Linked DNA regions of Arabidopsis thaliana. The protein of the gene in region 2 interacts with the protein of the main gene of each other region in a pairwise test. Each region holds a gene or a part of one and is shown on either strand. Other genes may lie near its edges. The genes, in order: HSP21 and PTAC5.

What was found.
Region 1: the proteins of PTAC5 (region 2) and HSP21 interact in a protein complementation assay, tested with the Arabidopsis thaliana proteins (one study listed by BioGRID).

What each region holds. Positions count from the first base shown.
Region 1 is NC_003075.7:13,818,125-13,822,043, reverse strand, and holds HSP21 (heat shock protein 21), read left to right. Parts: upstream 1-2,072; 5' UTR 2,073-2,148; coding exon 2,149-2,398; intron 2,399-2,562; coding exon 2,563-2,996; 3' UTR 2,997-3,219; downstream 3,220-3,919. Other genes in the region: AT4G27680 (P-loop containing nucleoside triphosphate hydrolases superfamily protein), read right to left, coding at 78-378, 584-781. UniProt on the Arabidopsis thaliana protein: Chaperone protein required for seedling and chloroplast development under heat stress, probably by maintaining plastid-encoded RNA polymerase (PEP)-dependent transcription.
Region 2 is NC_003075.7:7,946,798-7,951,804, reverse strand, and holds PTAC5 (plastid transcriptionally active 5), read right to left. Parts: upstream 3,227-5,007; 5' UTR 3,162-3,226; coding exon 2,589-3,161; intron 2,377-2,588; coding exon 2,281-2,376; intron 2,192-2,280; coding exon 2,078-2,191; intron 1,932-2,077; coding exon of another isoform or gene 1,878-1,931; exon of another isoform or gene 1,664-1,877; coding exon 1,417-1,663; coding exon of another isoform or gene 1,394-1,416; exon of another isoform or gene 1,255-1,393; intron 1,252-1,254; coding exon 1,214-1,251; intron 1,122-1,213; coding exon 1,026-1,121; 3' UTR 783-1,025; downstream 1-782. Other genes in the region: AT4G13680 (hypothetical protein (DUF295)), read left to right, coding at 1-89; PRR2 (pinoresinol reductase 2), read right to left, coding at 3,553-3,713, 4,003-4,206, 4,326-4,566. UniProt on the Arabidopsis thaliana protein: Exhibits zinc-dependent disulfide isomerase activity. Required for seedling and chloroplast development under heat stress, probably by maintaining plastid-encoded RNA polymerase (PEP)-dependent transcription.

The DNA.
Region 1 (3,919 bases), 5.9 Mb from region 2:
AAAACACGACGAGCATGAAGACAGGCCTACTCAAAGTGTGTTCCTTTATCACACACAAAATAATAATATGCACTTACCAAGCTTCTGAGCATCTCCAAACCACTTGCTCATCAGGTTTGAAACCCTAACATTAATGAAAACAGCTCCTGACTCTTTGGCAATAGCCTTAGCAAGCATAGTCTTTCCAGTACCAGGAGGTCCATAGAGCAAGACACCTTTTTGAGGTCCAAGAAGCTTCCCGTAAGCAAAAAGCTCAGGTCTTTTCAGTGGTAAAATCACAAGCTCATACAAAGCCTGCTTGATGGTCTCCAACCCTCCAATAGAACCAAACTCCACATCAATGTGGTCTGGATTTATCACATCACATGCAATTACATCCTATTCACAAAATTAGAAACTAGTGAGCAATTTCTCGAGCTCATTTCATGAGTTTGCGCAAAAAGACGATTGGAACTCAAAAGTATCCAAATTTCAATATTAAACAGAGAGACCAATACAAATTGGTTATCGAAACCACATATCGCATTCTCAGGTAGCTACCAACCAGTGAGGATTCTAAGATGCTTAATTCATAGTAGATTACCTCGTATGGATTGGTCTGAACAAGAGGACGACCCAAACGTTTAGAGATTTCCTTCTTATGCTCGAGAGCTTTTTTAGAAGCCTCACGATTAGGATCGAGATGACGAAGACCCGCAAAGAGAACCAAGCAGCTGAAAGCAGCGCTCGCCGCGTAAAGTATGAGTTCTTGTAAGATCTTTGTCTCCGACGAACCTCCCATGTCTCTTCTAAAAATTCAACCTTTCAATTACAGAGTATCTCAAATGGATAAATAAAACCCTAAGTTAGTCAAGAAATTAGGGTTCCCAGATGAAAAAGAGGATATGTTAGCAGAAGACGGAAACAAATTTGGTTGTTCTTGTGGACGACGACAGAGCTTTTGCCTTGGTGGGGGTTTCTCGAATACTTGGAGATCGAGGAAAGGAGAAGCTGAAATTACCGAAATAGCCTTAGCTGCACCGTCGTAAGTCGTGTAACTAGATTGTGTCAAGAAGGGCCTTTAATAGGCCTTCAATTCAGAATGTTCTAAAACCGAATTAAAGTACTGTTCGGCGTCCACTAGATTTTGTAGGTACTATTGCATCATCATCATCTTATATCAGTTCAATGTGTGTCTTGTTTTTTCTTTTTTAGTCTATTACATCATCTGATCTTATTCTAGCAGCCTTTTGAAAATATAGAGAAAAATCATTCAATGTTTCTAAAACCAAATCTATACACAAAACATAAAGTCTTTTGGATCATTGAACATTTGATCGGATTGCGGATTAATAGATTAGAGCTTAAATTTTGTATAATTTTATACCAATCAAAATTAATATAGAGTCATGTCATGCTATTTGTATAATTTATGTACAACAATTATTATATAAAACGACTTGAACAATTCTGTGATAAAGAAAAAAAAAAAAAAAACGACTTGAACAATTCAACATGCTATAGATAGTTTATACGTAAGCTAATAAGCCTGTTTGATACTGTATATGACATACGTGTAGCTGATATGATCAAACTAGACAAAATTTTCTAATTTCTCCCGTAGATATATATTTTTAGTTTACTTGGGCATTCCATTTCTCATATGTTTCTGCAAGTTAGCACACATAATGGTGACTTGGTGAGTTGCTTTTTTTCTCTCTCTTTTTCAATATGATATGCTTTCTTCGATTTTTTTATTTTTTTTAAACAATATATCATCTAATCATGGTTTTTTCGTAATCGTGGTTTTTCTAATTGTAGAAATCTAGTCTTTTTTTTTCGTTTATTTTGTTTTTATTAGTTCATCACAAATAAACACTGATTGGCAAGAAGGAAAAAAAGAAGATGGTTCGGGAGAAGATGAGAAAACACGAGAAAACGCACAAAGGTTAACAAATAGTAAAATAGATAGATAGAAAACAAAACGAGTCGAGAAACTTCGTATCAAATCTTCAACCTTCAAGACCTCTCCTTTTGTCACTTAGAGCCTTCTCATCCTCACCTACATATATACACTCACTTCTACAATTGTAGTAGATACTCAACAAACTCAGAACTAGAATTTTCTAATCTTCACTCAGCGATATTTTTGGCTCATACTCGAAACAAATGGCTTCTACACTCTCATTTGCTGCATCGGCTCTATGTTCACCTCTTGCTCCATCTCCTTCTGTCTCATCGAAGTCCGCTACACCGTTCTCGGTTTCGTTCCCACGGAAGATCCCTAGCCGGATCAGGGCTCAAGACCAGAGAGAAAACTCCATTGATGTTGTTCAGCAAGGACAACAAAAAGGGAACCAAGGATCAAGTGTCGAAAAAAGACCTCAACAACGCTTAACCATGGACGTCTCTCCTTTCGGTACGTTCAACTAACTAAACGGACTTCACTTGTATAAATAAAAACTACATCCTCTGCTTATTACTTAAAACATTGCTCTGTTTTTATGAACTCAGCTTTTGTCAATCGAAAATCTCTTCCTCTGCTTTGAACTGAAACAATGTTCTGTTTTAATCTAACCACAGGATTGTTGGATCCTTTGTCACCAATGAGGACGATGCGACAAATGTTAGATACTATGGACAGGATGTTCGAGGACACTATGCCTGTCTCAGGAAGAAACAGAGGAGGAAGTGGAGTGTCAGAGATTCGTGCACCGTGGGACATCAAAGAGGAAGAACACGAGATCAAGATGCGTTTCGACATGCCTGGTCTCTCTAAAGAAGACGTCAAAATCTCTGTAGAAGATAACGTACTTGTGATCAAAGGAGAGCAGAAGAAGGAAGACAGTGATGATTCTTGGTCTGGAAGAAGCGTTAGCTCATATGGAACACGACTTCAGCTCCCAGACAACTGTGAGAAAGACAAGATCAAAGCTGAGCTCAAGAACGGAGTCCTCTTTATCACTATCCCTAAGACCAAAGTCGAACGCAAAGTCATCGATGTCCAGATTCAGTAGGACTCGATCAACATTATCCTCTTGTTTAATGTTTCTTGGAGGTACTGTTTGTTGTACATAAGCATATGTTTCTCTTTATAGCTTAAAGTGTGTGATGCAAGTAAAAACAACAAAGAGAGATTTTAGAGAAGTCTTTTCCACAAAAGAAATGAAATAATGGCACTAATATTTGGATATGTAATTGCTGAGGAGACGACACTAAATAATCTGTGAGTATTTTCTTAAAATACACCAATCGAGAAAAATCTGTTTTGTTTTCCAAGTAAACGTGATCTGATAGGAGTAACAACCAATCAGAGAAAAATCTTAAATCAAAAATTCGGTTCCATTATTTTATAATTAAATTAGAAGGTAATAGTCAAAAGAACATAGAAACAGTCCTTGACACATGTTGAATCCAATGAAGAAATACGTCTTCACACAAAGCCTTAAAACCAAAACTCATAGTTAGTCGAACAACTATTCAAAGCCCCGCCATAGACATGAATGTGACGTAGAGTAAGAGACAGGAATATTAAGACACGTAATTTGAAGTTTCTACGAAAACTCCAAATGATGTAATAGTCTAGATTTAAAAGTGTTGCTAAATTAACTTATTCGGGTGAATGAATGTCCAAACATGATTTTGGAATCGTTCATAAGATATGCTTTGGGGACATTCACAAACATATCTCCCCCCGATATGTTCAATACCTAAATGTATTTTGCATACTTTACTGGGCTGAGTCATGTCTCATTATTTGGGCCAATAAATTGGGATTTAGCATTATTACCCATATTGATATAAAGGTCTTGAAAAGGCCTTAACTAATTGTAAACCCTAAAACACTCTCCTCTCTAATCACGATTTATTCAAAAATAAAATCAAATATTTCTAATTCAAAAATGAGATCAAATCCTCTGCCACCGCTGCTTGGGGTGCT
Region 2 (5,007 bases):
TCAGCCTGGGTCGACCTAACTTCGTCAAAATCGTTGATGTCAACGAAGACAGATATTTCAAGCTGGCTAAACAAAAGTGGGATTGTTAGAGTCAATCACTATTCCATCTCAAATGGGAATTGAGTTAAGAGTCTTAGAGTCTTGTCTTTTCTTTTAAACCTTTTAAACATCGATTATGTTGGGACGATGAACATGTTGGATTAAAAGATCCAACCTTTTGCTATAAGGTTGGTTTCTATTAGCAGTCTCAGTTTGCTAAGAACGAATACTAGCTTTTCTTCTTAACTTTCAAATAACCAATGATTTTACCTGCCAATGAGCCTGGAGGGATCTTCCCATCTGTTTTCTCCAAGAAGAAAATATATTTTATCTCTACCATCAAAGTATCCAAACAATCCTCACAATTAATTCTCCACTATCCATACAAAATTTCACAACTAAAAGATTTTAAATAATAATTTTAAAAGTAGAAAATATTCGTACAATCTACAAATCTTTTATAAAATACTTTATAAGAAGTTTTCCGTATAAATAAAATATATTGTATAAATGTTTAATATTCAACTGAATAATATTGTTTGTTTTTTTTTCTAAATTGAATGATGTGTTTAAATATTATTATTATTAGGAAATTGATATTAATATTTTTCTTCTTACGAAAATAATATGCCTAAAATTAATAGTTATTATTGTTAATTTTACAAAGTGAATATTATTTGATAATTAAAATATAAGATATTGGACTTCATGTTTAAATATATATAAAAAACATTTAAATGAAATGAAAATATAAAATAAAATGTTATTTCCGGTTTGACATTAATTTAAATTAATTGAATTTAAAATTTGATAGCACCTATGCGAAATTATCCTAAAAAGACGATTTCCATTCGTGTGATTTGAAAAACAAACTAACTACGTACTTGTTCACTAAATTTATATATATATCTCTCTTAAACAACCATATTATGCGATTTGGAAAACAAACTAATTTGTTTTTTCATTAAATTAAATATGAATCATTATTATAAGTTTTTTTTGCCGTCGCAGACATCGCAAACTGTATAGCCAAGACCTTCACAGTACGGACACTTCGTATCTTCACCAACCCACTCCATGAACTACAACATTGGACAAGAGCTTCTCTGCTTTAGGCTACTTGATAATACATACATACACATAATCGGAGCGGGGTTATTTTGATTTTACTCACCTGCGGCTCAATGTTTGGCTCACCGGTTCCATCGCACTCTACATCAAGTTTTCATTTTATAATCATCAAATAATGTGCTACAACTCAGTGCTTGAAGTGTTACTAAGGTTGGTGTCTATTAGCAGTCTCAATTTGCTAAGAAAAATCATTCTTAACTTTCAAAGAACGGATGATTTTCACTTAACCAGGGAGAAGGGATTTACCTAGGCACATCAATCGACCCTCCCCTCGACAAGTGATGCACCTCGTTTTGGTGTTTGTTGATTCACTTCTGTCTACCGGTTTGTTCCTGCCAATGAGCCTGGAGGGATCTTCCCATCTGTTTTCTCCAAGAAGAAAAACCCGATTTTGAGTAACGTCAACTTCTCTGTCACTTTGATCTTTCACGATTGATTGCTTCTTCTCAGGGACTTGTGTCACTGAAGTAAATACCGCCCCATTACCAGCTTCCTTAATCAATGGAATTAAAAGAAAGATCCAGTATAAAGAACCAGTCTTAACAGGTGTATTAAGCAAATTAAGAGAAATTTCAGAATATTCATGTTCCCTAAAACCTCAAACAAGACAATGTAGTATTTATCCCATTTACCAATTGTATTTCAGACTCATATTAGACACTTCAGATTCCGAACAAAGCTCACTAGCAACAGAAACATCATCTTAGCTAACAAGCTTGCCAAAAGCATACAATGGGAGTCCATATTCTGTCGTAAGAAGACTGCATACCAAAGTAAAGAGAGACTTCATAACTACTCCAAAGGCTTACTACACAGCTAAAATCTATCATATTATATAAGTCGGTTAGAAACGAGCCATGCTATAGAACAAGTTCTCTGAGCTGTAGTTAGTGGTTTCAGTTTTTACCTCTTTCTTCATTGTACTTGCTTCATCCTTATCTGTCTCTACGTCTTCATCCATGAACAACCTCTGAAGAAGCTCTGCTGTCATTACCCCATCCTCACGGACCCCAAGCGATGCCTTTTAAACCATAAACATGAACCGTGTCAAAATCAAAACTACATGAGCACATGAGAAAATCACTGCGAGCTAAATGCATAAAAACATACTTGCCAAGTCTTAACAGCACTTGCAGTCCCACTTGAAAAGCTCGAGAACTCCATATCCTCTTCGCCCGAATAGAATCCTAATTTCAACAGAGCTTCCTATCACATAGAGGAAACCAAATCCACAACAGAAACCATCAAAAAAATAAACATTCTCCCAACACTTTCAACTAAAATCAACCTCAAACTTATGCATATTGGCTAAACTACTTCAAATCATCATCCTAATCTCTCAATTTTAAGCTAATTCTCAGTGATGATAGAACTAAATTGACAAATTACTCGCCTTTGGTTTAAAACTGAGAGCAGACCTGCAAAGCTTGAACATCGTCGCCTTCGCTTCCAACTTTCAATATCCTCCTCTTGATCTTCTTCACCGGCTCCGAAACCCTAACTTTCTCTTCAGCAATAATCACTCGCTTCTCTTCTTCTTCCACCTCCTCAACAATTTGTTCTCTCGTACTCTCCAATACCATCGGCGTTGCGCTCAATCCACTCTCAGAAATCCGATTCTTCTCCTTCAAAACCTGAAGCAAAGCAGCGATATTCGAAATCGTATCGGGAATAGAATTCCCCAATTGCGAATTTCGTGACTCTAGGGATTGAATTCTGAGCTGTAGATCCGAAATCTCTTGTAGAAGCGATTCACGTTCGCGTATCCATCTCTGTTCTTCACGAATCCATCGTTGCTCCTCGCGAATCCATCTCTGCTCTTCCCGGAGCCACCGGACCTCTTCGCGGTCGGGATTTTGAGTGGAGAAGCAAACGATTGAAGAAGGAATAGAGAAAAAGAGAGGAGAACATTGAAATGGTAGAGATCGAGTGGTACTAGTAAGAGATCGGAGTGGAAACGGAAGAGAAAGAGGTAGAGAAGAAGAAGCCATTAGAGAGTGAGAGGATAAAGTAATCGAAGCTTTTGTTAGTTACCACATACACATGGCGGGAAGATAATTTCCATTTTTTTATGTTATTTATTTTTTAATCTCTTCTCGAAGTATCTCTTGTGTATTTGTGTATAAAGCCCTTATATTATCGGTGGTATTCTAGGAAAAGGACTTAAATTTCCAAATTATCTTTTCAGACCCTTGAGTTTACTTTTGGAAATTTTCGGACCCTTGAGATTATATGTATATCTATATATAACCAGACATATCCATAACTGAAACATTTAAATTTTAAAATAAATTCGGAAAACATCTTCAAGCAAACAAAACAAAAGGCCATGGTAAAACATAAAAATAAGGAAATGGCGATGTGTTTCACATATATGTAACATTATACGAAAATTTTCAAATATTCATCCATGCGTTTGTACTTCACATCCGGATAGAGTTTAGTAGCTTCTTCGTCGTCTCCAACTTCATGATCTGTGAGACAACCTTCGTAGTATATGTGATAAAAGTGTCCTAGTCCCGCTTGGTGTGATATCTCCTTATCTGCATGTATATAATAAACATTTTCACATTTAATAGAAAATAAATACTTGGTCTAAATTCAACTCTTTCTCATAATTTACTAGAATCTAAAAGACAAAAACGTCTACTTTAATTTATGAGATGTGATATATAGAAAATAAATACTTGGCATGACCAACTTTTACATTTCGGTTTTAATACTAAACCAACCTTACATTAATCCAATGCTTTATTTAAGAGATGTGATAGAAATCTATAATCCAAAAGCTAGGTTTGTTTAATTTGGTTACTAGATGATGATTAGATTTACCTTCAATGTCAGCAAGAAAGTCGTTTCCTGAAACATAGGTCTTCTCCAACTCTTTTTCGGTTAGTTTCTCCCATATCTGAACTAGTTCCATTTGTGTGAGAATGTTGTCGGTAGGTCTAACATACACAGTTTTATTCAACGTTCGGGGATCATTAAGCGTCTTCGCTGTATATTTTGCCATGTCATCTTCATCTACGAACACCACTATAATAAAACCAATGGGAACAAAAATAGATTTTTTAGAATTTTCATGATTATAAAAGTGACACAAATAGAAAAAAGAAAAATATGAAGAGAGAGCGTTCCATAAGAGTTCTTCTAACCTTTAACATTTCCGTCCCCATAAATATCAACTTTGTTTTTCGGAGGGAACAAAGTTCCCATTTGAGATAAATTTCCGCCGAAGTATGCGGCAAAACAAGCACCGACGAGGTATGTGTGGGAGATCCCGGCGGCCTTAATTGCATTTCGTATTTCCATTTTTTGATCAAATGTTTCACTTCCTGGTGGCATGGCATGTCCCATACGTGACGGATCCATTCCAAATTCTGATGGTAAGAAACGCTGAAATATTTTTTAACTTATTGTAAGTAGTTTCACTGAAATATTTTAATTTTTTAGTGTAAGCACCACCGAACATAAGCTAAGACAGTCAATATTATTAAAAAAACATCCGACAAGATTGGTTGTATAATTTTGTTTTTTTTTCTAAAATGATTTATTATTATTTCAAAAACCTTTAGATAGTCTTTGAACAATAATGCATGCAAGCTTATTAAAACTTTGTTATTGGTAAGCCAAAAAGGTGACTTTTGTGTTACACAATTATCTTACAAACGGATCTTTATCTTTTCCAAGAAAATTATTAAATTTTTAAAAATGAGTATATGTCTATAGAGTTAAATTCAATTCATTTGCGATTGTTAGCAAAATATAGCCGTAATATATCAGCTATTTTCAAAAGATGCATATGTCATTGATGCAGACAGATACATTGTACCTTCA